Bombyx mori: one gene and its partners. The protein of the gene in region 4 binds, or shares a complex with, the protein of the main gene of each other region. Links are inferred from orthologs where the notes say so. Each region holds a gene or a part of one and is shown on either strand. Other genes may lie near its edges.

Region 1 (7,496 bases), on a different chromosome or scaffold from region 4:
AGCGTTATCGATAGTGTATTTAGTTTTTTTATTTTGTGGGTTAGTGAAAAAATGAAAGAAAAAATCACTAATCGAACACTTACACCACATATCACCGCAGCAAGTTAACGAGGACGGCAGAAATTAACACTTTGTAACTTTTCGGGATCTATTCTTATTTCAGTGAAAATTTTTAACACGTTGTGGATAACAACACGTGCAAATATTATTTTGAATAAATTCTGCCGTTTGATACAAAACAAAGGAGTAGCCATTGTGTCACTAAACAAATTCAGAGAACGAATGCAGAAAAACACATTCCTTTTCGACATAATGTACTATCATTTGCAAGTTAAGTACAAATGACTCATAACATAACAATGTCTCACCACCCTTCGTATCCCACCCCGCCGCCGTGTACCTGCCTTCGATGACTCATTTGTTTTTATCGATAATGGCGTTGCGCCCGCGCAACATGCTCACCGCCCTAGCCGGGCTATGTTTTATGACCCAAACTGCACGGACAAAATAATTCTACTATAGTAAAAGTGTTGAAACGATTTTCAGCACATACAGATTATGAAGCACAATATTCTGTTCGGAACTTGTATGTGCTTAATCTCTTGAAAATCACTTAGATATCTTGGTTGATAGATGGATGAAGAACTACTAAAGAAAAAGACGTACAATGAGTCGACTGTCGTGCAGTTTCATTATGTAGTATTCGGAAACATGTAAATATGACTGTAGTTGGTCAGCTGACTGCAGGAAGGGTTGCCCAGCCTGAAATTAAAACCCCAGTTATCCTAATTCCATCTAATCAAATCAGTCATCCTCTCAGTTCTGACCACTAAGTGGGGATAACTCAAGGTTATTTGTTTGGTGTCAACCAATACCATGAAATGAAACAGCCATGATAATAAATGTATTATGGATATTTAGACTTGACGCATGAGACTACCGCCATGTGCTATGTTGATTCAACCATTTTGTTCCAGTAGTTGTGTCGGTACACGATCTGATAGCGAAAAGTTTCGACCAACACCATAAAGAACTTTCGTTTTCCAGCTGGGTTAGGTAGGGTCCTGGTACAGAAAGCAGTTATACTTGATACGGCACGTATTGTGAGGAGGTTTCACACTCTGGAGCCTGAACCACTGGTGACTTGTGTCGTAGACACTGCCATCAGTGGCAATCTATTTATATAGTGTTTCTGAAGATTGTATTTTTAATCTTTTTTTTTTTAATATAGTTTAATTAATAAAATTTTAATAAACATGTATTAAGTATAGTTTTTAAGAAGACTGATATTACATGGATTGTTCATGCATTTATTGTTTCTTGTTTTGTATGCCCAGAGAGTTAAAAAAATCACAAAGTTAATGGCGTACTTGGCCTAGAAAACGACTAATATACCAAAGTGAGAACATCCTCGTTGAAGTCTGGTAAAACTACACTTCTCAAATCGAAAATATTCCATTGGTTTTGAAGTTGAAAAATTTTGCAATTATTGCGAAACCTCAAAAGAGACCATTACTATGTGGCTTTAGCAAACAAACTACATACTTTAATTTTTAATTGTTTTTTTACAAGTACCTCAAAAAACACCTTAAATAAGTTCATGCCTCACTTGCCGCGAGATGGCTCACTGGCGTTACTTGCATCTGTTATCAATATACTCATCTCTTTTGTCGTGAAAGGGCAGTCTAGCTCACGACCTTAGGGTCCTTGGTTACCTGGTGTTGAGGAACTTCATGGAAACCCAAATCTATCGTGCTCGTAAACGGCATCAAACTCGAGTCGTGAGATTCAAGTCTTAATTGCTTTGAAATATTCGTAGATAAAACGCTGGCACCTTTTCGTCATAACATTTAATATGCGGACGGCTAGTTTTATGGATACCAGAAGATGAAAGATGATAGAAGGCAGATGGATAAATGGGAATTAGTCATATACCTATCTATAAATTGTGATTGTCCTATAGGCAGACGAGCTTACGGCCCACCTGATGGTGAGTGGCTACCATCGCCCATGGACTTCAGCAATGCTAGGGGCTGAGTCAAGCTGCTGCCTACCGTTATATTTGACAGTAATTTGCCCGGCAGAGAAGTTCGCACCTGCTCCGTAAACCCTTCTGGGACTTTGTCACCGCGAAAAGCATTCTCGTCAACGAGCGCGAAGCTCCATTCTTTCCCCGTTACTCAGTTCAGTATATATTTTAATAATACACGCCAGTCGTCAGAGACCCTTCTAGCTCTCTTCGGCGATGATACTAGTTATTACTGGAGTGAGCTGGGAAGATGTCGCTAATTCATCGGCGACTCTAGACCGCAGGATCAGGAGCTTCGGAAGTGGCGTAATTAGTGGTGGTAGAAAGTCTTGTGAGTATCCTTGTGAGTAGTGAGTAGACTTGTGAGTACCTACCGCACGGGTAGGTACCACTACCCTACCTATTTCTGCCGTGAAGTAGTAATGCGGTTCGGTTTGAAGGGTCGGGCAGCCGTTGTAATACTGAGACTGTTAAGTATGTGTGCGTGTGCCTACGCATACGGGGTATTTCAACAAATATAGGGCAGTGTGTTAACAGCAGGCAAGTGTTTCACTCGTGTATCCCTCGTATCTAACAGAGACCTTATAACTTACATCTCAAGGTGGGTGGCGGAATTAACGTTGTAGATGTGTATGTGCTCCAGTAACCACATAACACCAGCTGTAAGCTCGTCCACTCATCTAAGCATTAAAAAAAGAACGATCCTGATGACCGGACAATATACAGTCGCCCTCAGTCTTAACCCGTTATTTCGGGTCAAAGAGTCGTGGGTCCAATTTCCAGGATAAAATGTACTATGCGTACATCGCAAGCTACTAGGCAGGATAAAATGCGTAATGCATATTAAACATAATAATTAAGGCCTATTGGTAGCATAGGAGGCATTGACCATACACTTCACGTTTAGTTTGTAGTCATAAAATTAAATGTTATGTGGGCAACATGGAGTAAGGTTGTAATAGTAACTCTATGGTGGGCAATCTATGTATGGCTTGTAGCTAATCTATGGCGCTGAACTTGAATTGTGTTTATTTCCTTCTGTGTGATTTTATTTTCAATAAAATTTTAGACATTAATTTTGTGACATTGTTTATTATATATGTAAAAATATAAACCTTCAAATTCGCGTAGCAAGTTTTCTGTGGTAACTTCGTATAAAAGACGTTTTATACACAATGTCCATTGAGATAGAATCAGCCGAGTGAGTTTACTATCAATGTAAACACGAAATTACTTGAAATTATTCATCAAATATTTAATTTAGTGCCTAAAATATATTTTTATTTCAATTGCAGTGTTATCAGACTGATACAACAATACTTGAAGGAGTCAAATTTAACCAAAACATTGCAGACTTTGCAGGTTAATTCTGTTGATATTTAATTAAACATATTTTTTAATGAATAGAATTAGTGTAAATTTTTTAAACTTTACAGATTGCACTTATTTTACTTAATTATTCACTTATATTAATGAATTTTGTGTACATTTATGAGAACTTCAATTGTATCAAGTCAGAAAAGAATACCAACTTATTATTGATAAACTCTTAAGCTTTGACACTGGCTAGGATTAATGTTACATACGGCTTTTTTAACTTCAGACAGCATGCAACTTTTAGTAAGATCCACCCATATTGAACAATTTGGGGTTGTGAATTTTTTTTAAATATTGATACCATTCCTGTGCCACTGAAGCTTTAACTTCCAAGATTAGTAGTTGTAATGACCAAATTATATGAGATGTATGCATGTTGTTCACTACTGTTAGGGTGTCTTGTGACCCCCCAATGGTACCTATAAGTTCCTGCCTATTTTTCAATAGAGCAGCCATGTGTACAGGTTTGATAGATGTGACAGCTGTAATACTATGTATAACACTGAAATTTATACCTGAAGTTTCAAGTTAGAAGGATGGCAGTGTTGATATGTCTCAACTAAAGACTCAACACTTAGTTGGCAATGAGCTTGTTCACCATTTTATGCAATAAAAAGCCGTAACTGTACATCTGATTCAGATGTCATCTCTCTGAATTTTGAAAGTAAATGATTTTTAATATATAGGAGGAAACTGGAGTGACTCTAAATACAGTAGACAGCGTGGACGGTTTCTGCGCAGATATTAACAATGGCCACTGGGACACAGTACTTAAAGCTACTGCTTCACTCAAGCTTCCTGACAAAAAGTTGATGGAGTTATATGAGCAGGTTGTATTGGAGTTGATAGAACTGCGAGAATTGGGTGCTGCGAGATCCTTGCTACGTCAGACACATCCTTGTCTGTTGATGAAGCAGCATGAAACAGATCGGTATATGCATCTTGGTGAGTCAAAATTTTAGTATATGTATTTGGCTAAAAATACATCCAGTCTTTAAATCAGATTTGTATCTTAGAATGCTAATGAATATGAATAATATAATATAAAAAGATATAATATTTAAAATAAAACTTATTGCAATACAATAGTAAATAAATGCAATACAATTAAAGTAAATAATACTACTGCTGTAGCAACTTGGCTATGCCTTTGGCATTGTTGATGTCCATTAATGTGACCAGATGGGTGGTCCTAAGCTGATCTAAATAGAGGCAATAAAAACATGTTTAGTTTAAGCAATTTTTATACACATTTCCAATTGTTTTAATCCATAGTTAAATCTGTATGTGTCTGAATGTTTATCTTCATATGACAGAAAACCTGTTAGCACGTTCATATTTCGATCCTCGTGAGGCATACGGCAGTGGAGGAGGCAAGGAGCGGCGCCGCGCTGCCATCGCAGCGTCCCTCGCCGGGGAGGTGTCCGTCGTACCGTCGTCCCGTCTGCTGGCACTACTGGGCCAGGCCCTCAAATGGCAACAGCACCAGGGTCTGCTCCCTCCCGGCACCACTATAGATTTGTTCCGTGGTAAAGCCGCAATAAGAGACCAAGAAGACGATCTCTGCCCCACCCAACTGTCCAAGATCATCAAATTCGGTCAGAAGTCCCACGTGGAGTGCGCGCGATTTTCTCCTGATGGACAATATTTAGTGACGGGCTCCGTAGATGGCGTCGTTGAAGTTTGGAACTTTACAACAGGAAAAATCCGTAAGGATTTGCGTTATCAGGCTCATGATGAGTACATGTGCATGGAAGAGGCGGTGCTGAGCCTGGCTTTTGCGAGGGATAGCGACACATTGGCTGCTGGGTCTAATGATGGAAAAATTAAGGTAATAAATGTTTTAAAACCTCATGCTAGTTAACCTTTTCATTACTGCTTCCGTGTAAAAAGTGAGTTATTATTGCTCCCTAATATATAATTATATAATGCTATGTATATGACCTAATGAGCTCAGAATTCACCTGGGCATCATTAGGTGGTAACAGACAAAACGGAAAGCAATATATATTTCCTAAGATGATTATATACTTTTTGTTGAACATATCGTGCAACCGCAATGTAATGTGAAGTTAAGAGACCTTCTCCTCCCCTTCCCTCCTCTTCTCCACCCCTTCTCCACCCCTTCGCCACCCCTTCCCCGGGCTGCATTGAACTTTGAACATGAAATTTTTTGGTCGTTCAAGATAGTTTCATTGTATCCTTTGTTCAACACATGGGTCATTAAGTAAATTCAACATAATTACTCAATAAAATTCTCTGTGAACAGGTCTGGAAAGTGTCAACGGGTAAAGTGCAACGCAAACTGGACCGAGCTCACTCTAAGGGCGTGACCTGCCTGCAGTTCACCCGAGACAACACTCAGATCCTCTCGGCCTCCTTTGATCGGACCATAAGGTATTTATTTATAAAGTTAAACCTTAAAGTGTACGGGAGGCGTCGATGATCTACCACTGCACTCAGCTGCTAAACGTCTTACTGATACAGATACTGACATCTCAATTTTCATATAGGGCAGGATTTGGTTGGATCTCCAGGGTTCAACCATTGCGACGAGCGCTTCCGATTATCGTACAGTATCCACTTTTCATCACAAGTTGATTCGATTTAAAATTTCTTCATTATTGTGTCGGTCGAGCAAAGTAAAACAGCAGTCGACGCGCGTTTGCAAGTTCCATTTACCCAATTCATGAGGTACCCATCATCCAAGTTTTTTTACTTACCCGATTTGCTTCAAATTGATTAATACAGCTTTATCACTGACTCCGAAGCCTGCAGCTATCTCTGAAGTGCTTTGTGATGGATCTGTTTCCACAATAGCCTTTAATTCTTCATTTTCCACTTTGGTCTCCAACCGTCCACGGGGCTGGTTCTGAAAGTCGAAATTTCTAGAACGAAAACGTTGAAATCAAAAACGTACCGCGCTTTCTTTTGCGACTCCAGCGCCGGACACATCATTAATCCTTCGAGCTGTTTCTGCAGCACTGCGTACTCGTAAATATACCGATATTTCATGTTTTCTGTTGTGTGGTAATAAGCGACGCCAAAGGAAAAAATAAAGAGGAAAAAACCAATGAAGGACTGTTTTCAAAATTCAAATGTACCAGCTAAATCAATTTGTAAATTTGAATTTGTAGTTCTTAACCAAAGAAGAGATATTTCAGATCAGACAAAACACTAATTTCACATCTAAGGACCTAATATTATTGTTGACTCCGAGAGCTACCTGCCCCTCACATCTTGCTCAGTAGCATTCGTATTTACAATAGCGGTACAATATTTCACAGAATCCACGGCCTAAAATCTGGTAAAGTCTTGAAGGAGTTCCGAGGTCACACTTCGTTCGTGAACGAGGCGGTGTTCACGCTGGACGGGCACGCGGTGCTCAGCGGCTCGTCCGACGGGACCGTGAAGGTGTGGGCCGTCCGCTCGGGCGAGTGCACGGCCACGCTCAAGCCCCTCGGCAGCGGGGAGCCCCCGGTCAACACCCTACTCCTCACCCCGAAGAACCCGGACCATTTCGTGGTGTGCAACCGGACGAATACCGTGGCGATAATGAACATGCAAGGGCAAATCGTGAGGTCGTTCTCGAGCGGGAGGCGCGAGGAGGAGGGCGGCGCGCTGGTGTCGGCGGCGCTGAGTGCGCGCGGGAGGCTGGTGTACTGCGCCGGGGAGGACCTCGTGCTGTACGCCTTCTGCGCCAACACCGGCAAGCTGGAGAGGACCATTAATGTGAGTGCTTCTGTACTTTTAACTGGTGGTAGGACCTCTTGTGAGTCCGCGCGGGTAGGTACCACAACCCCGCCTATTTCTACCGTGAAGCAGTAATGCGTTTCGGTTTGAAGGGTGGGGCAGCAGTTGTAACTATACTGAAAACTTACAACTTATATCTCAAGGTGGGTGGCGCATTTACGTTACGGGGATGTCTATGGTCTCCAGTAACCACTTAACACCAAGTGGGTTGTGAACTCGTCCACCCATCTAAGCAATAAAAAAAAAATATAGCCTTCCTTGATAAATGGGCTATCTAACACAAAGAATTTTTCGAATCGCACCAGTAGTTCCTGAGATTAGCGCGTTGAAACAAACA
Region 2 (6,711 bases), on a different chromosome or scaffold from region 4:
GATGCAATTATGATTTTAATTTTACTTAGGCTTGACAATGGTTTTACCTTTCCAGTTAGTCTGTGGATTCACCTTGTTATAGCTGTGGACTTTGCTAATCGTTGTTTAATACCAAAAGAGGTAATAAATAGTAATGATAGCATAAAAGCCAAGTAAAGTATTTCAAAGTGCATACATCGATTTTTAACCTGAACTTTCATACGACAAAATAAATAAGGCCATATATTGCCAGTTCCCGTCACATTGTCTTCTAATTTTTTTGGCCACCAAGCAGGTCAACTAGGAGAACGTAGCTATACCAACAAGTTTTAAAAAAATATGAATATAAGTCAAACCGCTTATTACTATTATTTATCTATATTTTTAATATACAATACATTTATACAATACTCTAATAAACAAAAAAAAAACAAAAAAAAACCTTCCCGATCCTGCGGACAGAATGGAAAACAGTCGACGTCGCCCAAAACACGTCTTACGGCCTGGCCACGGGGATCGGCGGTGCGAACAGCGAAGCGGTGGGCGAGGCGACCATTCGCGCAGCACCGTTTGCAGGCCACGGGTACTCACGTTCGCCGCCGCGACTAGTAAGGAAGTCCGACAGCGAAATGTCTATATCGAAATTATCTCGATATTGCTTACAAATTAATAGTTTTTTGGTTCAGGACCTATTATTTGGAAAAGATTGTGAAGTACATGATTTGAATAAGAATCGGAGTATACCTATAGATGGAGAATTCCACAAGAAGTACGAGAAATACTTTGGGTGGCTAGACTTCCAAATAGCTGGTCTAGCTAGTATTTCAGCTATTTTATTTTTTTATTGCTTAGATGGGTGGACGAGCTCACAGCCCACCTTGTGTTAAGTGGTTACTGGAGCCCATAGACATCCACAACGTAAATGCGCCACCCACCTTGAGATATAAGTTCTAAGGTCTCAAGTATAGTTATAATGGCTGCCTCACCCTTCAAACCGAAACGCATTACTACTTCACGGCAGAAATAGGCAGGGTGGTAGTACCCACCCGTGTAGACTCACAAGAGGTCCTACCACCAGTAATTACGCAAATTATTATTTTGAAGATTTCATTTTTATCACACGATGTTATTCCTTCACCGTGGAAATTAATCGTGAACGTTGAGTGTTGTTGAGTACGTATTTCATTACAAAAATTGGTACCCGCCTGATATTCGAACACCGGTGCATCGCTCAACACGATTGCACCGGACGTCCGTTAGGCCACGACGACTTTAAAATTATAAAATAAAAAATAAATAAAAAATATAAAAATTTCGGCGTTAATTTTTCGCGGCGAAAACAACTAAACTCATTTAATCACTGCACTATTCGCCGCGACTACCGCTCGACTCCGTGGCTCGCGCCGTCCGTATTCATGCATTTGTTTTGCTCGCCCGCCGCATCGCGCGATTCGCTCGGTACATTTCGCCGGTCGCTTCGCCGGTCGCCGGTGCGCGTGGCTTGTTAGGTACATTTCTATGCGCTTGTTTTAGTCGCTAGACGCTTCGCCGTTCGCACCGCGCGAATATTCGCATCGGCGAATGTCCCGTGGCCAGGCTGTTAGTCTACCCTACTTAGCGGTAGGCAGCGTCTTGACTCTGCCTCTGGCATAGCTGAAGTCCATAGGCGACGGTAACCACTCAGGTAGGCCATATGCTCGTCTGCCCACAAAGGCAATACAAAAGAAATAAATAAAAAAACAGTCACTGGAAGTGGCTTTTCGGGTTCTTCCAAAAAGTCCACTAAAGTTTCTGTAAATAACCACCATTTTACTAAAACGTTATATCATCCCATCTCATCTCATTTCACCCCAATCGATTACAGCCTCAAATAAATCATCTTCAACTCTTTTTATATCTATATCATTTTTATAATAGTATGGGGAAAAGTCTTTTCTCATTATAGTAGGTAGGTATGTATGAACTTGTAATAAAATCTCTTTGGTTATACTATTTGTATCTGGCTGGTTTTGGAATAATTAAAGGTTTAAAATTTTAAAAAAGACAATTCCAAATTCAAATTAAGAAAATGTGTGATTTTTATTTGTTTTTCGTACTGTCAAGATTAGGGAATCTAATGAAGAAAATCGATACATTTAAAAAGTTTACTACAAAAAAGGTAAAAATGCAACGTAGGCCGCGAAAAAAAATTGCGATGTTTATGGACCTAGTGCTGTGTCTGTGAAAGTAGCACAAAATTGGTTTAAGCGTTTTCAATACGAAATTTTTATTTTAAGAATTTGTACGTCGCTCTAATCGAATCTTTTTGAAAAAGTGAAAGTGACTGATCGCATCTTTTTGAAAAAGTAAAGCAAGATCGGCATATCAGTAGTTACGACGTAGCTGAAGAACTGGGAATTGACTACAAAACAGCTTTGGCTCATTTGAAAAAAAATAGATACACAAAAAAGTTCGATATTTGGGTACCTCACGAGCTCACTGAAAGAAACCTAATGAACCGTGTACTCATTTGTGATTCTTTATTACGACGTAATGAAACCGAACCATGTTTGAAGAAGCTGATAACTGGTGATGAAAAGTGGATCACGCACGACAAGAACGTACGAAAAAAGTCGTGGTCAAAGGTCCGTCAGGCTTCACAGACTGTGGCAAAACCTGGGTTAACTTGCAACAAGGTGATGCTGTTTGTGTAGTGGAATTGGAAGGACATTATTCATTATGAGCTGTTACCACCAGGCAAGACCATTGATTCTGAACTCTACTGCGAACAACTGATGAGATTAAAGGAAGAAGTTGAGAGAAAGTGGCCAGAATTAATCAACAGAAGGAGTGTGGCTTTTCATCATGATAACAATGTGACCTTACACATCTTTAGCCATTCAGCAAAAATTAAGAGAGCTTGACTGGAAGATGTTAATGCATCCGCTGTTTATCCGTATATCCGTCCTGACCTTGCACCTTCAGGTTTCCACCTGTTTCGGTTCTTCAGAATTCTTTAGGCAGTGTCAGATTAACATCACGAGAGGACTGCCAAAACCAATTGTCTCGGTATTTTGATCAGAAGCCCCAAATTTTTTATAGCAATGGGATCATGTCCCTATTTACAAAATGGCAAAAAGCTATCGAACAAAATGATACCTACATACTTAAGTTAAATGTAAATAAACTATTAAAAAAATTTGTTAATTTTCTTAAAAAATGCGAAGAAACTTTTTCCCCAACCTATTATATTAATTTTCATGTAACTGAATATATAAAAGATTAGGCTGTATAATATATATATGCTTTCGCCTTTCTTGTTAGAAAATGGAAATACTACAACTAATCATTTGTCAGTTTTGTCACTGCTAGTTGTCAATTAGAAACATTTCGTTTGTGTTGTTAAGGATGATTTTCTCGTGTTATTTTTTTAATAGATCTAATTGATTACTCTTCCCTCTGGGTACACGTTTAATATAAAACAAACAAGTGGAGTGTGTAAGAAAATCATAACTTGTAATTGTTGTGAAATAAATACTATAAAATTTAAACATGAGTATGCGCCCCGATGACCACCGAAGAAAATGGGACAAAGAGGAATTCGAGAAAATTGCAGCCGAGCGTTTGAAAGCAGAGCTAGAAGAAGAAGAAAAATCCAAGAAGAAAGGTAAAATATTTGTGTCAACACACTTTGTTACGTTAAAATACAAATTTGACACAATATATAAATGTTTGTTTAATTTTCATTTTCCAGCCACTCCAGTCAAACGTGAACTTCTCAAACAACGTGAATATAAAGTAGATTTGGACTCGAGACTCGGGAAGAGTGTAGTAATCAATAAGAATACGCCAACGTCCCAATCTGGAGGATATTATTGTAATGTTTGTGACTGTGTTGTTAAAGATTCAATAAATTTCCTTGATCACATCAATGGTAAAAAACATCAGAGGAATCTGGGAATGTCCATGAAAATAGAAAGGAGCAGCTTAGATCAGGTGAGCTTACTTTTTCACATGTATGTATATGCATAGTACCAAGCAGGTAAATAGGATTGTTGACTTGCTACTAGATTTATGGTCTGAGATCATCAATTGGCCACTGTTGCATCAAAATAATAACAAACATCATGAACCAACGCTATTATTTTTGTGATTGCCTGAGTTGAGCAAACCTACCATCCCACTCAACTAGAGCACTCAATATTAAAATAATTCTCAACAAATTCTTTCAATCTTAATTTTATCAAGTTCTAATGCTATTGTTAAGGAATAATAAATGTAAAATGTTCAACCAAATAGATGATTTAAATTTCTAGACCACTAATTTGAAATAATCTATCTAACTCATCTAGCTGTTCTCAATTTTATAAATACCATTCAGGTTTTAATAATATTTATTCTATTCTATCATAGCTACTACTACTACATTATATTTGTTTGGTTCCAGGTAAAAGCAAGATTTGCACTCAATAAACGAAAGTTGGAAGAGAAAAAGCGTGAATATGAATTAGACACAAGATTAAAGGAAGCCGCTGAAGAAGAAGCTCGTGTGAAAGAGCTACGTAGGGAGAGACGTCGGGACAAGAAACGGAAGTTAATGGAGAATGATGAAATAGATGATACACCAGCACCTTCTGAATTAGCACAAATTATGGGGTTTTCTGGCTTTGGAGGATCTAAAAAATGATATGTTTTAAAATGTAAAGCTTATATTAATAAATACTGTGTGGTACAATAATGTTTCATTGAATGTTTTAATTATTATTTGGCTAATAATTCTATTTGCCCTGACCTTGTTTTATCAAGGTATAATTATGAACTTTGATTTAGCAGACAGGATAATATTACCATATTTATTTGGAAAAGGCTAGAAAAAACGACACCATGTAAATGTAACATGTTCCAAATGCTTTTTCCAATTAAAAAATATAAATTATAAGGCTACAATGTCCACTACCGGACTTGGTATGAGGGCATGTTTTTCATGTGCTAGATGAAAGCTTTTCACTGACTCCAGTAGTCCTGTATATGTCAAAACTCACATCAACTTTAGTTTTTGGGATTTGGGATTTTGGGATATGTAAATCGCACGTGACTACTTTGACTGACTGACTTTTCGAGGACAATAAACAATTCAACAACAAAATCAGTTGGCTGGGCGTTAAAAGAGCGCTCATCTCTCTACTCTAAGTCGTTTCTGTTGAGTCTGGGCTAAGATAACGATCTCGCCCAAATCTATAAATTAAAATAAGACATGACTTAAAGGTCTTAGTCACCAGGTCATAAAATACCTTAAAAAAAGAATTTTATATAATACTTTTTGGCGGGAACGCGAGGCGTGAAGTTGTGTGATTTGTTTTATTTTGTGTTTCTTCGGGTTTAAATGTGTAATAATGGTGGTTTATTAACTGTTTAATATCTGTGAAAGTGCACAAATGTGGGAAAATGAAACAAAGCCGTTGGACGTAATTTCTCGGGATCCTCAAAAAAGTCCACTGAAAAAATCTTAGTAAGTGACCACCATTTTACTCAGATTATATTTCATCCCATATCATCTCATTTCATTTCATTTAATTTCATCCCAGTTGATTAATGTCTCAAATTAATCATCTTCATTTCATTTCACTCCATAATATAATTTTTCATAAAAATATGAATATAAATTAAAATAAGATATGACTTAAAAGTCTTAGTTAACAGGTTATAAAATCCCTGAAAAAAAAATTTCGATATATCGAAATTTTTATAAGGTGAATGAAGTTAGCCCCTCAAAAAAATTTTTTTTTCCTATTTTATACTTATTCTCTATTAATTCGTTTGTTCATCATTTGTTCATGATTGTTGACTGTTAATAATTGTTTGTTCTGCATTTATTTATTTAAAAAAAATATTTAAAAATATACCTACAAGTTAGCCCCTCTAATGCAATTTTTAATATTTTTTCATCGTTAATGACTCGTAAATATTCATTTTCGATTGTTCTTATATAAAACATGTTTGTTCTCTTTCGAAATTACTCGTTTTTTGTTTAATTTACTATTTTTATTAGTTGAATAAATGTATGCAAAATATGTGTACTGCGCATGCGTCAACTATAATGCCTAAACTTTCTACGCGGTTTTAATCGTGAAAAAAAAAACAAATATAAATCCTGAAGGAGCAATTAATTGGTATACAGTTTAATTAAAAAAATAAATAAATGAAGTAATGTGCATTGGCGTTAAGTTAGACCAAATACATTTTTTCCATCCTCTTACCTATCGTATTAAAATGTTATTTTACTAATGTTAGGAATATAATTTCGACTGTGTAAAAAAGTTATTAAAATGTAAACCTATATTTACTTACCTTCATAACGATAAGTAGGAGGATGGAAAAAATGTATTTGGTCTAACTTAACGCCAATGCACATTATTTCATTTATTTATTTTTAATTTTTTTTAATTAAACTGTATACCAATTAATTGCTCCTTCAGGATTTATATTTGTTTTTTTTTTCACGATTAAAACCGCGTAAGTTTAGGCATTATAGTTGACGCATGCGCAGTACACATATTTTGCATACATTTATTCAACTAATAAAAATAGTAAATTAAACAAAAAACGAGTAATTTCGAAAGAGAACAAACGTGTTTTATATAAGAACAATCGAAAATGAATATTTACGAGTCATTAAGGATGAAAAAATATTAGAAAATTGCATTAGAGGGGCTAACTTGTAGGTATATTTTTAAATATTTTTTTTAAATAAAT
Region 3 (4,030 bases), on a different chromosome or scaffold from region 4:
TGTAGTCGGTTTTTGTTAAAGTATGTCTATTTACAATTATTTTTAACAATCTTTTATTAGCTTGGCATTGTATGTAACAGATTCTTTGAATGAAATCCCACTTTATAAATGTCGGATTGACTTGAAACTTCGCACACCTATCAACGACCATAGACCTATATAGTCTCAACAACCGATAACAATGAAATAATTTAATAAAATTGTCCGATTAGTAACTTGATTGAGATTTTTAGGCTTAAAGACTGTACGGACGGTTAAAACACGGTAGTGTCTTGTGCCAAGTACAGAGGCGCGTACGCGGCTGCTGCTTCTCTTGGATTTATGATAGCCGTTTCTCAGGTTCCTTCTCTGGAACCGATCGGATTATGAAATAATCATAGATCGACCTAATAACCTGTTTTCACATATGGTGCACTAAAACGGCGATTGTTCCTTGCTATGAAATGACCATAGTTAAAGACAAAAAAAAATCGTGAGGTGGTTTTTAGATTTAAGATTTTATAGTGACCACTATCAGTACTACCAATATTTCATTAAAATAACATATTTACAATAATTGACGTCTACTATCCCACGCATTTTTTCGTTAAAATGCTTTTTCCTAGTCACTTTTTAAAAAAATGATTTGCTACTATACAGTTTTTAATCTATTATTTTTATGCGTGGTAATAATAAGATCTGTAGTTAGCTCATCCTTTTTGGCTCCTTAGTGGCGAAAACATATATGTATACATACATGTACTTATGTATGTCATGTTTGTCATGTTTGTCATGTCGGAGTTCTTGGACCTGAATCCGCATAACAGAATCTAATTAAACGCATTTGTATTGTACGATTATTCCTTTCATTATCTTTTTTGAATTAATCAAAAATTATATTTTTTACAGCATGTACATAACCTTCCAAGACGAACCTACCGGCAACGTTGGATTTAAAGGAACGACTTTCCACGCGATCTTTGGATAAACATTATAAAAAACAATATCCAAACCATAGGATAAATAGCGAGAAATGATGTGCTTCCATAATAATCTATAAAATGCTTAAAATCATATTAAAATTGTCTTTAGAGTATTCTTATTGATGTTTGAAATAGTTATTGTATGTATCCTTGGCCTTAGATTAGTCTGTGACTAACCGAAGCCGTTTTTTTTTCGGGCCTGGCCGAACCTCCTACGAGGTGCCCGCGCCTAGGAGGCGCGCGGGGTATGTGAGACTTGACGACCTGCAAGGTGTTGGGAGCAGACCGCGGGCCCAAGGAATTTTAGGGCCCTACCGCACTAAACGACTCTATTTTTTATTTTATTTTTATTGCTTAGATCGGTGGACGAGCTCACAGCCCACCTGATGTTAAGTGGTTACTGGAGCCCATAGACATCTACAACGTAAATGCGCCACCCACCTTGAGATAAAAGTTCTAAGGTCTCAAGTATAGTTACAACGGCTGCACCACCCTTCAAACCGAAACGCATTACTGCTTCACGGGAGAAATAGGCAAGGTGGTGGTACCCACCCGCGCGGACTCACAATAGGTCCTACCACCATAAAAAGTAGATTACCTATTATGATTTTAATTGTGTAAACTATTATTACACCCTAAGATACACATGTTATGAATGGGTGTGTATTATAGTTACGCGTTTACCATAATTACGTATACTATGTATGCATCATATCGTATCATCCCTTTGAGAAGGCGGTACGACAAGAAAACCCTCTTGTTGTGGCCGCCGGAAATTACATACCCGGCCCTGTGGACCGAATGGTAAACGGTCGACGTCGCCGCGTCGCCCTAAACACGTCATTACGGATCCTCCCGATCCATTATCGGTGCTTTTAGGCATTCCAAGGACCATTCACCGTTCGACGTGCAACATAACTAACGTATGTCCACAACCGACTGATTTTCGCACTGGATCTTAGACGGTCGCGATTCCGATCAGATGTTAGCTTCAGAAAGGCACTGTTCTTTTTAGCGCAGTGTGTTTAGTGCGAGTTTTTTAACTTCTCTATCACGTAAAAGTTAACTCAAATTTGTACGAATTGGAACAGCGCCCCTAGCGGCAAACCAAGGGAAACTGTTCTAACTCCAGAACTTAAAAAAACTCGCATTGAGCACACAGATGTTATAAAAGTCTCTGAAGCCTACACACCCGGCGAAACTAAAAAAGCCCTAAACTAAAAAACTAAAAACTAAAAAAGCCAAGACTACGGGTAATTAGTTATTCCAAAAAACTAGAGTAAAATTTTAAGTCAACTTTAATAGAGCTGACGAATAAAAATATTATTCCTATGTAGATGGAAGAAAGTAGTGATGCGTCAAAATTCTATATTAAATCTTAATTTAATTTTGTAAATGTATTTCTCAATGTAAAGCAAAGCAGTCTTTTTTGCATTTTCTTTAAAAGTTTGCTACGGTAACGCTATATTATATTTCACGGACACTCATAGCCACAGAGTTCAACTTCCACTGTATTCTTTTTAACTTTAGTGATAAGATGGATCATAAATAAAAATAATCGGAAACCTGTATTTTTGGAACAAAACAGTGGAATATGAACAATTGTGACCGCCAACTCACATTTATTAAGTGTAGTAGGGTATCTTATTAAGTCCAAATCGATAGATACTAACCATCATGCTTAATTCGGTTGCAAAGCAGTCGTAGAATACTGCTTCGAGACGGGCACTACACCATTCAAACTGACCTCATGTTTCAAGCTGAATAGTGGCACTTACATTGGTTTTTGTTTAAGCTGGCAACTTTATTCTAGGTGGGCCCTGAGATAGTTCACCAACTAAACCGTATTATCTTCTTTTTTTATGATTGAGGGTTTACTAGTGGCCCGGAGGCCTTTCCAGTTTCACAAGGACAGGTGGGCGAGCCAGAAGAGGCGGGATTTGCTAACAGCTACCCGAGCGCCTTCAAGGGAGACCTAGCAACTCAACAGTAGCTGCTTCGCGAATGAATCTACTACCGGATCGGAATCGCGACCCGCTGAGAAGATCCGGCGAGATACTCAACGGGCTGATGCTTATGTTAGATTGCACGGTTACCGGGGTCTCTACTCCTAGTGTTAGAGCGAAAGGCGTCTTATGCGAGGGTTATTGCGAGGTATCTAATGGATCCTTACAAGGACTACACAGAGTCACCTGGTTCCGAAAGGACATTTTACTCCGCTTACAGATCATGGGGTAGAGTCTGCCGAGAATAAACGCGGCACGGTCGTGGACTGCTTTTATATGTGGATGGAATCTCGTGGATAACCGTATTATATATGAACTAAGAATTAAAAAAGAGGAGCCCAAGGAACTCAAGCTCAAGTAAATCTTATTAGGGCATATCATTATTGGCATAAATTTTATGAGGCCTCATGCAACATGTACATACGTACAGAGTGAAGTTGTGTGAATTGTTTTAATTTGTCTATTTAGTGTTTCTTCAGGCTTAAATGTGTAATAACGATGTGTAAAAACGATATTAACTGTTTAGTATCTGTGCAAGTGTACAAATGTGGGAAAATTAGACAAAACTGCTGGACATAGCTTCTCGGGATCCTCCAAAAAGTCCACTGAAAAGTCTCAGTAAATAAGCACCATTTTACTAAGATTATATTTCATCCCATATCATACTGTCTCATTTCATTTAATTTCATCCCAGTTGATTAATGTCTCAAATTAATCATCTTCATTTCATTTCATTTCACTCCATATTATCATTTTTCATAAAAATATAAATAAAATAAGACAGAACTTAAAGGTCTTAGTTACCAGGTCATAAAATATTTAAAAAAAAGCTAGTTCGTACTTAATTACATATGTGCGGCTGTCATAGATTTTATAAATGCATTTATAGTGATAATTTTGATATAAACTCAACAAAAACAACTGCTCAGGAAGCTGTAGTTGTATTTTCTGCAGTTTTTCTACTGTTTGAATACTACTATTACTTGAATTCGTAATTTGTAATCATATTCTAGATTAAGAGCAACACAACTAAAACAAATTGATTTCATAAAAATCAATTCA
Region 4 (6,554 bases):
TGCGTTTCCGATCCGGTGGTAGATTCTGCGAAGCATGGCTCTTGCTAGGGTTCGTGTAAGCAACGTCGTCAGGTTTGTGCCCCATGAGCTCACCTTCTAGTTAAGGTTACGCTGGAATAGCCTCTCAAGGCTATCAGCTTAGGTAGAAAAAAAAAAGTAGACAATAAAATAGGCTCACTGAAATTGGCCTCCTTTTTTTGATTTTCGGTTTTATTTTTATTTTTAATGATTTGTTCGTCGTTTGTTCGTTAATGTTTGAATGTAAAAATTGTTAGTTCGTCTTTTATTTATTTATAATTGAGTAAACAAATGATTACCCTTAAGTTGGCTCCCCTTACTAGAAGATATCTTTATTTTTATCGCTCAGATCAATTAATTTTAATCAATTATCGTTAGTTCAACGAATATTGGTGATTGTTCGATCTTAAAAACAATTGAATTCCTAATTATTAATTATTTTATATCTAATAAGCAAACCATCACCTCACGCCTACATTGCGCATGCGCCGGTTTTGTCAGTCAGTTGGCAATGGGCGTATTTTCTAGCGTTTTGTTAACAAGTGCGTTTATACTGTCTAATTATTCCTTATGCAGACCAAAAAAATATTCAAAACTTCAACAAAAAATATCGGGGATTTTTTTTTTTTTATTGCTTAGATGTGTGGACGAGCTCACAGCCCACCTGGTGTTAAATGGTTACTGGAGCCCATAGACATCTACAATGTAAATGCGCCACACACCTTGAAAAATACGGCCAATTATTCCTTTTTTTTTTCCTACTTAAGCTGATAGCCCTAGGGGCTATTTCAGCGTAACCCTAACTTTAGTAGGTGAGCTCACGGGGCTCAAACCTGATGACGTTGCTAACACGAACCCTAGCAAGGGCCGTGCTTCGCAGAATCTACCACCGGATCGGAAACGCGACCCACTGAGAAGATCCGGCGAGAAACTCAGTGGGCTCTGTCTGAGAGTTAATTTACTCGTCGAGCCCTTCGTCGCAAGCGACGGGTTCGACGAGAACGGTGACCGGTGCTTGAAGTACGTAAAAGCACCGTTAGTGGATCGGGAGGATCCGAGATGACGTGTTTTGGGCGACGTCGACTGCTTTCCATTCTGTCCGCAGGATCGGGAATGTAATTATTCCTAAATTCATTACGTAGTTCAAAAAATGAAAATTTAATGCACACAAAATCTGTTTTTATTGAAATGATAATTATTTAGAAGTTCAAGAAATATATTGCAGGAACATTTAGTAGAAATTCATTTCATATGGAAGAATAAACTTAGTATACATATACCCTATAAACAGGATTTTATTTTAAAAAATATTTTATTTATAAAAAATATTTATTTACGTCTATATTATCGTAATTATTACTATCGAGAAGTATCTTGATTGATATATATTACAAGGCTTAATAATTGGGAATGTAATTATTTGAAATTTTATGATCGAACAATCACCAATAGTCGTCAAACAAACGATAATTGATCAAAATTAATTAATCTCAACGTTAAAAATAAAAATATCTAGTAAGGGGGTCCTACTTAAAGGTGATCATTTGTTTAATTAATTATTAATAAACAACAGACGAACAAACAATTTTTACATTTGAGCATTAACGAACAAACGACGAACAAATAATTAAAAATAAAAAAAATCCGAAAATAAAAGAAAGGGGCCAAATTCAGTGAGCCAATAAAATATTAGTTTATTATAGCAAAATATAAAAAAAAAAGTAAAACTTAATAAGAATTAAAATATTTTCAAATAATTATTTCTATGACTAGAAAATGCCCTGTGTCATATTCGATAGTCAACGGCAATCGTTAAGACTGGTCTTTCTGGCGATATAATCGCTTTGTTTATTATTTCATATAGATATATACCTAGTCCAGCCATGAGTTATAAAGTAAGGACTTTCACTTTCTACTTAAATGTGAAAATATTACAAAATACTCACTGATTTAGTTTTGAGTCAAGGACCGGTGTATGGAAAATAATGAGAATAATTTTACTCTACTTTAAGAATTACTCGTGCATTTATTTGGAAAAATCTGTGCTTTGTTCTTCACAGTAGATCTTTTTTCTTACTATTTTATTCTATTCAATCAACTTGAGTACAGTGCTCAGTACCGTGCTTTTTAATAAATAAGGTTTTCAAGTAATTGGTGCCTAGTAGCCATTTGGTATAAAAAAGTTTAATTTGAAATGAGAGAAATGTTTTTGAAAGGAAGCTTAACATATTTTATGGAATTGTTAGTAATTTTTTACGGGGCTTATTCTTAAAAGATGCGCCGTCCTAAAATTTGAAAATTTCAATCTTTGATCCCTTTTGAATACTGTACATAAAGAAATATATAAAATGATAACTGATTCATTTTCATAACACTCTTCAATCTATATTCAATAGCCAAATATGTGCCTAGCTTTGATTAACATTAGCCCGATTCTGTTTAATAATACTACTATTCATAATACCTTTCATGGGCTTTATATCTGATGTCTCCTATGAATGAAACCTCCATTTACTTTATTTTTCGTACCATTTATGGAGCCTACCTTCCATAGCATACCATTAGCACAAAAGAAAAAATCTCGAATAAATCAAACATAAAATGATTTGTTGCTTTCAAAAAGCCAGCATTTTCTAGAAAGTTGTTATTGATGTTAATGAACGCTAGCAATGCTCTTAAAATAGCCAAACCGTTGCCTGCTGTTGAATACATTTCTATGTAGGCCGTACTTTTTATGTAATATGCCACAACCCCTTTGCGTATACAGTTGGTTATGAGAACAAAAAGAGTCAATGTCAAAAATGTCAAAGAACCATAACAAAAATGGCGAATCGTACCGTAAAGGACGCGAAATCAATTCGGGGTACAAATCCTCAGTATTTAATAGAAAAAATTATCAGATCTCGTATTTACGACTCGAAGTATTGGAAGGAAGAATGTTTCGCTTTAACTGCAGAGCTGGTAGTAGACAAAGCGATGGAATTGCGTTATGTAGGCGGCGTGCACGGCGGTTTCATTTACCCCACACCATTTTTGTGTTTAGTATTAAAAATGCTTCAAATACAGCCAGAAAAAGATATTGTGGTTGAGTTCATAAAGAATGAAGAGTTCAAATACGTACGTGCACTTGGCGCTTTTTACATGCGCCTCACCGGTACCTCTGTTGACTGCTACAAGTATTTGGAGCCACTTTACAACGATAATAGGAAGTTAAGGCGGCAAAATCGCGACGGCCAATACGAGATAGTTCACATGGACGAGTTTATTGATGAATTACTGCGCGAAGAGAGATTATGCGATATTATTATGCCGAGGATACAGAAACGTCATATTTTGGAGCAGAATAACGAAATCGAGCCCAAAATTTCGGCTCTGGATGATGATATGGATGAAGAAATGCCGTCTGACGATGAAGTTATTGACCCCGAAGCCAAAGAGAACAAGCGAGAGAAAGATAGACGGGACAGGGATAGAAAGAGAGATAGGTACCACATCATCATAAAAGTCGTTACAATTATCACTGACTGCTTGAAATCTTTCTAAGGCATTAATTAGTATTCTCAAAAATCAGTGTTTCCAACAGGCTTGTATGACTTCAGAAAAGAGTGTGTACATTGTTGATGGTCTATGAAACAAAGTGCAGTATAAATACTGTGCAACCATTTTTGTAGTATATGCTTAATAAATATTGTAATAATAAACCCTCCTTGATACACAACAGAAACATATTACATAAAACAATAAACAAAAATCTTTTATTTCAGATCAAGAGACCGTGACAGACGTGATAAGGACAGAAAAAGAGAACGTTCAAGGAGCAGAGATAGAAGACGTGATAGGGAGAGAGAAAAAGAGCGGGAACGCGAGAAGGAACGAGAAAGAGAGAAGGAACGTGAAAGGGAAAAGGAACGTGAAAGAGAGAAAGAACGCGAAAGAGACAAAGAGCGTGAAAGAGAAAAGGAACGTGAACGAGAGAAGGATAGAGACCGTGAACGTCAAAGAGATAGAGATAAGGACCGAAGAGAAAGACATGATGATAGGAGAAGAGATAGAAGACATTAGAATAATTATAAGTGTAATTTTTATTTAGTCATACTATGTAACAATAAGCACTAAAGCTTATTTGAATAAGGATCATGAACACAGAAAACCTTTAATACTTTTAGGAGACTCAACAACTCTTTATGTTCCATAATATATATTTTATCACCTGAGCTTAATGGTTAATAATTCAGCTTTGACTATTGTACAACCAAATCCAGGTTCCTTCTCTTTGTTAAATATGTTTGAATATACAAATTCTGGGTGTATCTGTTTTTGTCTCATATGTAGTATCACTACATAGTATAAAACAAAGTTGCTTTCTTTGTCCCTATGTATGCTTAAATCTTTAAAACTACGCAAGGGATTTTGATGCGGTTTTTTTTAATAGATAGAGCGATTGAAGATGAATGTTTATATGTATAATAACATCCATTAAATAGTGGAGAAATCAATAATAAATTACAGTTTCCGAAGCGAAGCGAGGGCGGGTCGCTAGTTCATAATAAAGCCAATATTAACTGGGCTCTTCTGTGTGAAGTTTTAGAAATATATTGTCTCTTTGCCTGTTATGGTAATCTGTGGGAAGAGATGAAATCTGACTGTAAATTTAAAATTATAAAAAACCTAATACGTAATGGTTGTTGAATAGCTAATGAACCACCATCAAACACATAATATATATTTTTTTAATTTTTATCATTAGAGGATCACAATAATACAACTAAAAAAGTTACATTATTTTAATTTATAAAATTATTATAAATACGACAACAGGTTCGGATGATTAAAAAAAAAACATTTTTAACATTACTAGATTATTGAATAAGTACTATTAGATAGAACATTGATTTAATACAACAAATCCAGTACCATATAAGCAGTTCCAAGCTAATTATGACTCCTTTGATTAACTTTCACGGATAAAAATTAGGGAATCTTTTTCATATAGAACAAATAAGATGGCTCTTATTCTAGTGTGTAATTTATGATGTCTGGACTCGTCCACACCGGTGTCTCATTATAAAAATGAGGATGTCAATATTGATGCCTAATTGGAGACATGAGAGTTTAAAGTTTCAATTTCATCCAAATCCAAACTGTTAATAATATCAGACAGCTAAGATAATATAACCAGACAATTTTTTTTTTATTGCCCTTGTAGGCAGACGAGCATACGGCCCACCTGATGGTGAGTGGTTACCGTCGCCCATGGACTTCAGCAATGCCAGGGGCAGAGCCAAGCCGCTGCCTACCGCTTAATACTCTCCACAAGCCTCTTTTAAAGAAGGACATGTCATAGCGCTCGGGAAACATCATCTCGAACAATTCCTCAGAGCACTCCCCATGGAACATTCGGTACAAAATACAGAGGGAACCGAAGTCCCTCCGCAGACCCATATTTAAACTACCATCAACATTAATTTTTAAGTTATCCAAAATATATGATTTTTTTATATTAAGCTACTTGTTCTATAATACTTATAAGCTTTGGCGATTGTCAAATCTAGAATTTAGTGCTAATGGCAATCTTCACGCTTCCGAAGAAAGTAACATTCACTAAGAAACAAATACTTAAGTACTGTTGGCAAAACAGTTATTACATAGAAATTCAATTAAAATATCCTAATTATTGCTTTTTTGATCACAACGTAATTATCATCACCTGACATGTGACATGGGGTTAAAATTGCATTTGTCTATATAATGGAAAACCCAGTCAAATGGAGTAAGGATGGTGGTGACTTCCAGTACGAACTTACAATTCTCCTATAACCAGCAATTATGCAAAGAAATAAACACAGGTTTGGTTTTTAATTCATGGTAAGTTATCAAATCTCAAAATCAGTTTTTGTTACTGGCTGTAACGGTAATGAATCGTCTTTTTTTATTTTTTATTGCTTAGATGGGTGGACGAGATCACAGCCCACCTGTTGTAAAGTGGATACTGGAGCCCATAGACATCTACAACGTAAATGCCGCCACCCACCTTGAGATATAAGTTCTAAGGTCTCAAGTATAGTTACAACGACTGCCCCACCCTACCAACCGAAACGCATTACTGCTTCACGGCAGAAATAGGCAGGGCGGTGGTACCTACCCGTGCGGACTCACAAGAGGTCCTACCACCAGTAAAAAACGAAGGAACGGGTAATATCGCTGGTAGCATGTGAAAAAATATGTTCGTCGGGTTTGTCTATTCAGTCATGGTGTCGAGGGAACTGCTTCAATGTACACCACAGGAGTTAATTAATAAAAATGGCGAATTAAAAAAAATTATAATCTGACGAAGCGTGTTGTGGATAATAATATGTACTTTTAGGTTATTAAGCTACCTTGCATCTTGATTTATTTAAAAGATAATAAATATACAATAATAATGGCTGAATTTATACTTGCCTCTGCAAACGAATATATTGAGTTCAGTTTCTATTTAATACGATACTTCGACATAAAAACCCTGTATATAACAATTTGTAAAGTTAGATTCGATT
Region 5 (5,814 bases), on a different chromosome or scaffold from region 4:
AAATTTGTTTACGGCTGATACCAAAAATATCTATTTATCTATCGTCTATAATTAATCGATATAAAAACGTTTCACCGGCGTGGACATTAAATCATCTGTTGGTATGTTGTTATACTAATCGCACAATTATAGTAAGGTCTTTTACCTCACGTCTCAAGGGGTATCAGCGTACACCTTGAGATATCTGCGGATTTTAGCAAAGACATAAGAGCGAGTTTACCGTGCGTTTATCTGTCTCTCAAATATATTTATTGTCTATAACTGTCACATTAGGTGTTAAAAGTTTTGAATTTATTTTTGTATTATATAATTTTGGTATACAATAAAGCATACACAAGCAATCACTAAGCTATTATAGGTAGGTAGGTTAACAGAATATTTTAATCAAAGATTATAAATTTCATTTTCGTCTAAGGTACAATATCTCATCACTGTCGGCAGTGTCGGCACCCTGTTCGGGAAATGACCTCGGAGGATTTACTAGGCAACTTCTATCGTTACAAACTTTATATAGCCAGACTTTAAAGCCACGACGATAAAAGATTTTAACTTTATTTGTATCTGGGTACAGTGCTGAAACTTGTGTGAAAGCGTGATATCGCGTAGCTTTGTATTAATTCACTTGTAGTATGTATCTGTTATAACTATGTATAATTTCATGGTACCAAATTAGTCGATTATTAAATAATCTTTCTTTCTTTTCTTTTTTTTTGGCTCCAGCATGGTTTGTGCATTAGCCAGTGTCAAGTAATAAGATTTTTATAATTTGTCGTTTTAATTATTTACAGTTTATGAATAACAAAAAACGAAGGAAACTGTCCATGTTGGCTATTATTAATATCAGTGTAAGTATCAATTAAATTAGCAACGTGGGACGATAAAGATAAATTAGGTTGAGAAAGTAATTTGATTAATGTAGTAATTGACTCTGAAAATGATAATATGGAATGAAATGAAATGAAACGAAATTGATTAATATTATGAAACATGGCATGAAATGAAATGAAATGAGATGAGATGATATGGAATGAAAATATAATCTCGATAAAATGGTGGTCATTTACTCAGACTTTCTCAGTGGACTTGTAGAGGATCCCTAGAAGTTGTTTCATTTTCCCATATTTGTGCACTTTCACAGATACTAAGCAGTTATTAAACCACCGTTATTACACATTTAAACAAAAAAACACTAAATAGACAAAATAAAACAAATCACACAACTTTACTCCTCGCGTTCCCGCCAAAAAACCCTAAAATTAATAATGATAATAACTGGAAACAAATAACGCAGTCATCCAGCCCCAATTTAAGATTCCTTGTATTATGGATACCAGACTAAAACAAATGAACAGAATTCAAGTCACTCCACTTGGAGACACGCCCCAGTTTTCTTCACTTCAGACACAAGTTTTGATCGCCTCTCTTGTACCACGCTTCGAGAGAGACTGATGGCCGAGATATCACGCATCCCCCATGCTATCATCCTCATAGCAATGCATGCCATCAATAGATAGCATCTCATTGATAGAGTAGATGCCCATTATTATTAAAAGAAATCAAAATAACATGCGAATTCTCAAACTATACTGAGACCTTAGAACATATATCTCAAGATGGGTGGCGCATTTACGCTGAAGATGTCTATGGGCTCCAGTAACCACTTAACACCAGGTGGGCTGTGGGCTCGTCCACCCATCTACGCAATAAAAAATATATATAATCTTCATGACAATTAAATTTTCAAACTCATGGCTCAAAGTGGTAATACATATAATGGTAGTAATTTCTCAGCACCAGGTAGCTCGTGAGCTTGGCTACCCGTGTATTATAATAAAACTCATCTCCCACACTGCAAATTGTAAACGTTAACAAAACAAAATTTTACTTCATTTAATGTACAATTTATATACAAAACAATGCCCTATCTTAATTATTATGCTCTTTGGCAGTTTCAAAAGTGCTTTAAATCACTCTTAGCTTCCAATCCCGACCACGTAATTAAACGGAATTTCAAAGACCGGACTTCTTTGTCTATGACCTCCGAGGTTCATATCCTGAAAAATCTTCCGCAAGTTCCAATTTCAAATATGCAATACGTGTGTATCACGGGTGGTTTTTTTTAAACGGTAAAGGAGTCACGCGGTCGGTCTCATCATTCTGTCTCTTTCTTCCACGAAGCAATCACTCAATTTGAAAGATAAGACAACAGTATTAAAAATCAAGCCCGCAAAATTATAATTTTCGTAATTACTGGTGGTAGGAACTCTTGTGAGTCCGCGCGGGTAGGTACCACCACCCTGCTTATTTCTGCCGTGAAGCAGTAATGCGTTTCGGTTTGAAGGGTGGGGCAACCGTTGTAACTATACTTGAGACCTTAGAACTTATATCTCAAGGTGGGTGGCGCATTTACGCTGTAGATGTCTATAGGCTCCAGTAACCACTAAACACCAGGTGGGCTGTGAGCTTGTCCATCCATCTAAGCAATAAAAAAAATAAAAAAAAAATATCGAGACTTTGACCTTTTGCGTATCGATATATATGTGAGATCTAGAAACCTCTTAATAGCACTCACCTATAGCAATGAAAAAAACAAGAAAATTTAAATAAATAAAATATTTTTTTTGGGATCAAACAGTTTTATTGGCATATTTATAATTTTTTCAAGTCATTCGACGAATAATAAAAGTAATACGCTATCACGGTATGGATGTGTTCATGAAAGTCAAGTAAAAAAATAGAAATTAATCTAAAAGGGACCAAATTTTTCACAGGAAAATCGGAATTAATTCATTGTTTTTGAACATTCACGCTATCTTGATACATGACATTTGTGACGTCACAACACTGAATCAATAACGTAAGCAATATTTTGCATAGTCACTTGTGCAAACTTCAGAGAATCATCCAAATGCGACGCGCCATTACCATCTCGTTTTAAATTTAAATAACACGTAACAATTGGTTCAAGTTGGTCCAATTTCTTCAACAATAGCTTAATCAGTTTGAATGTCTATGAAAACAAGATTCAGTTATAAGTGAGACTCTGATACTTTTCTTAGTGACGTCACGAGTCGGTCACCTATTTTGGTTGCGATTTTGGTCGTATCAAAAAAACGTCTTTACTAAACGGGTACACCACAGAAACCACGTGATTAATAACGATGACAGCCTAAACAGTTCACGCCTTCCCTGATCAACATTGATTGGCATCCAGAGCTACCGTATTAAAACGCCTTACTGATGACAAGGTCAACGTCCCCTTAACAAGTTTGACAGGTGTCAAACATTGTGCTTCCTCTTCGCCGAAGGTTTCTCGAATACTTGTTTCATTCCCCCGCGGAAGTTAGTCAGTCTGGCTGCTGAGGTTTCATTGCTCCAAGCGGAATCGAACTCCGTAGTGTCTTGATCGACCAAATGTGTGTACTTCGTACGACCGGAACGTCCAAACTTCTTGACTTGCATAACCTAAAACAAATATAGGATAGGAATAGTTAATGCACTGTTAAAATAAAGGTAAACAAGAAAAAAAATACTGTTTAATAAAGAGAGTTATTGATGTCTATGGGCTCCGGTAATCACTTAACATCAGGTGGGCCGTGAGCTCGTCCACCCACCTATTCAATATATTTTTTTTATTGCTTAGATAGGTGGACGAGCTCACAGCCCATCTGGTGTTAAGTGGTTACTGGAGCCCATAGACATCTAGAACGTAAATGCGCCACCCACCTTCAGATATAAGTTCTAAGGTCTCAAGTATAGTTACAACGGCTGCCCCACCCTTCAAACCGAAACGCATTACTGCTTCACGGCAGAAATAGGCAGGGTGGTGGTACCCACCCGCGCGGACTCACCTACCACCAGTAAAATTACAATTTATGGTAGTACTCGATAGCCAGCCTTCGAGATTTACGTTACCGTATGTCGATAAATTATGAAAGTTTCGAGTTCCTAGAACGTGACGATTCGATTGGGAAGTAGTACGGAAGTATGTAAATTCATTCGTGTTGCTGAAATTAATTCTTTTTACGGACGGTAGGGGCACTATTTAAATCCTATACATTTTTTCTGGATAGCGATATGAATACATACTTTTTCGATAGTCATTCGTGCTCGCCCCTAGATCCCCAAGTCACTCACTCGCTCGCTCGGTACTATATAGTTACTGAAGACCACAAACTTGAATATCGCGACCCATATTGAGTAATATAGCCACATTTGAATTTAACACGTTTCTATTAGCTCGACTTGTATCTATTTATACAACGCAATATTTCAACTGTAATTTTCATCCGATTAGCAATTTTAATTTGAATACGTACTTAGCAAGGACCAATAAAATAATTTTATTATTTCCATCGTACCCTGATTAGAAAAATCAGACCGAAAAAAATATTGTATTTTTTTGATCCGTATAGTTTACACTACTTTTACTTATTTTACTCTTGAAACTTATAGAAAATTTATACCTTTGGTAAAACTGTCTTGTCAAAATGATCATCCAGCGTAGGACCCGAGAAGTCCTGTTTGAAAACATCTTCTTCTTTATCCAAATAAAAGGCACCTCTAAAATTAGAAAATATAATCGTTATTAATTTTAATAGTTTTCACACTAAGCAAGTTTTTATGCTTCAAATTTTATGGTTAATAACTTTAATAATTTTCTTATTAAGCAAAATTATTTTTAATACAATTTTTAAAGTATGAATTTTACCTGTGATAATATTTCTGCAGAAACTTGTATTTTCCTTTGACTGCTTTATTTGTGACAACCTTTGGATTGATACGTTGTTCGAGGCGTCGCTCATCTTCGGTCATGTTGCGTAATCGTTCCAGAGTTAACATCTCTTTTTCGGCTCTGAAATAAAAATGAAAATGTTACACTGACTAAAAATCGACGGCCACTAAAATACATTAAAAATGTTTAATACTGACTAAAACTTTAGTCTCTTTAATATAACATTATTCGTTGTGAAACTTTAACATAGTTAATTTTATTAAAATTCCGAGACTGAATTCTTTAATCGTGCGATCTAAAAAATAAATTGTGATTTCAAATAACAATCACTGATAGAAAATCATTATCAGCTGCAGTCCTGACACGGGATTGACTAAATACATCAGCTGCAGTCTGAGATAATTTAGGCCAGAATAACATCTACGTGGATAAAATCTTAGCATATCTCAGCCTATCAGCATAACATCTACTTCACACAATCAAAACCCAAAACGTGGAACTCATATTTGAAATATGAGACGACTATTAATTTTAAAACAGAGTGAAGCATAAGTCTTGTACTAACTACATATGAGTCGTCTATTATCAAAGGCGGCAATCTGTACATTTGGACAAAAAATTTTTATTGATATGTCAATACAGATTTATTTGAATATAATCGTCTCCTTCAAAGAATACGGTTCAAAACCTGCATTAAATAAAGGTTAATAGTTAACCTGTTATTTATCTAAGATGTCGTTCCGAAGAGTTTTGTGACTGCCAATGGAATACAAAGTCAATAATTCGTTTTTCTGATTTACCAATCATTGTCCAAAAGTCAGATTGCCGGCTTTGATAATAGTCGACTCATATATACCATGGGTTAATAATAATACTCGGCAAATCTAAGGACCTCAGATTCTCACTTAGTAACTTAGCTTTTATTGCTCTAGCCAGGCACACTAGCTCTACCTACTGTAATGTTCAGAGAATACTGCTTCCCATCTTACAGTATATCTCTTAAAGGCCTTTGACGACATTGCGTATTGATGGTGAATACTGTTCTACCGTATAGCAGATACAGTTGAATTAACCTACAG

The links.
Region 1: pre-mRNA-splicing factor 38 (region 4) and WD40 repeat-containing protein SMU1 share a complex: the UniProt entries of both Homo sapiens proteins name them as parts of the spliceosome B complex. The link is inferred for Bombyx mori from reciprocal best matches to the Homo sapiens genes PRPF38A and SMU1.
Region 2: pre-mRNA-splicing factor 38 (region 4) and zinc finger matrin-type protein 2 share a complex: the UniProt entries of both Homo sapiens proteins name them as parts of the spliceosome B complex. The link is inferred for Bombyx mori from reciprocal best matches to the Homo sapiens genes PRPF38A and ZMAT2.
Region 3: pre-mRNA-splicing factor 38 (region 4) and protein Red share a complex: the UniProt entries of both Homo sapiens proteins name them as parts of the spliceosome B complex. The link is inferred for Bombyx mori from reciprocal best matches to the Homo sapiens genes PRPF38A and IK.
Region 5: the proteins of pre-mRNA-splicing factor 38 (region 4) and microfibrillar-associated protein 1 are in contact, whole or in part, in a crystal structure (PDB 5F5S), measured with the Homo sapiens proteins. The link is inferred for Bombyx mori from reciprocal best matches to the Homo sapiens genes PRPF38A and MFAP1. Residues at the interface, in NP_116253.2 of Homo sapiens: Tyr124, Asn125, Tyr127, Lys129, His143, Asp145, Glu146, Asp149, His153, Tyr169, Val170, Glu172; in NP_005917.2 of Homo sapiens: Glu275, Tyr276, Trp279, Arg282, Glu283, Arg286, Arg289, Asp290, Arg294, Leu297, Glu298, Lys301.

What each region holds. Positions count from the first base shown.
Region 1 is NC_085112.1:941,193-948,688, forward strand, and holds the start of WD40 repeat-containing protein SMU1, read left to right. Parts: upstream 1-3,003; 5' UTR 3,004-3,204; coding exon 3,205-3,230; exon of another isoform or gene 3,231-3,247; intron 3,248-3,324; coding exon 3,325-3,391; intron 3,392-4,092; coding exon 4,093-4,351; intron 4,352-4,722; coding exon 4,723-5,237; intron 5,238-5,675; coding exon 5,676-5,803; intron 5,804-6,693; coding exon 6,694-7,138; intron 7,139-7,496. UniProt on the Homo sapiens protein: Involved in pre-mRNA splicing as a component of the spliceosome. Regulates alternative splicing of the HSPG2 pre-mRNA. Required for normal accumulation of IK.
Region 2 is NC_085128.1:9,736,519-9,743,229, reverse strand, and holds zinc finger matrin-type protein 2, read left to right. Parts: upstream 1-3,307; 5' UTR 3,308-3,510; coding exon 3,511-3,625; intron 3,626-3,712; coding exon 3,713-3,954; intron 3,955-4,405; coding exon 4,406-4,645; 3' UTR 4,646-4,696; downstream 4,697-6,711. UniProt on the Homo sapiens protein: Involved in pre-mRNA splicing as a component of the spliceosome.
Region 3 is NC_085122.1:6,714,218-6,718,247, forward strand, and holds the start of protein Red, read left to right. Parts: upstream 1-1,230; 5' UTR 1,231-4,030. Other genes in the region: Mif (macrophage migration inhibitory factor), read left to right, coding at 889-967. UniProt on the Homo sapiens protein: Involved in pre-mRNA splicing as a component of the spliceosome. Auxiliary spliceosomal protein that regulates selection of alternative splice sites in a small set of target pre-mRNA species. Required for normal mitotic cell cycle progression.
Region 4 is NC_085134.1:4,005,491-4,012,044, reverse strand, and holds pre-mRNA-splicing factor 38, read left to right. Parts: upstream 1-2,810; 5' UTR 2,811-2,841; coding exon 2,842-3,503; intron 3,504-3,782; coding exon 3,783-4,080; 3' UTR 4,081-4,328; downstream 4,329-6,554. UniProt on the Homo sapiens protein: Involved in pre-mRNA splicing as a component of the spliceosome.
Region 5 is NC_085127.1:8,416,296-8,422,109, forward strand, and holds the end of microfibrillar-associated protein 1, read right to left. Parts: intron 4,856-5,814; coding exon 4,712-4,855; intron 4,564-4,711; coding exon 4,467-4,563; intron 3,466-4,466; coding exon 3,280-3,465; 3' UTR 2,616-3,279; downstream 1-2,615. UniProt on the Homo sapiens protein: Involved in pre-mRNA splicing as a component of the spliceosome.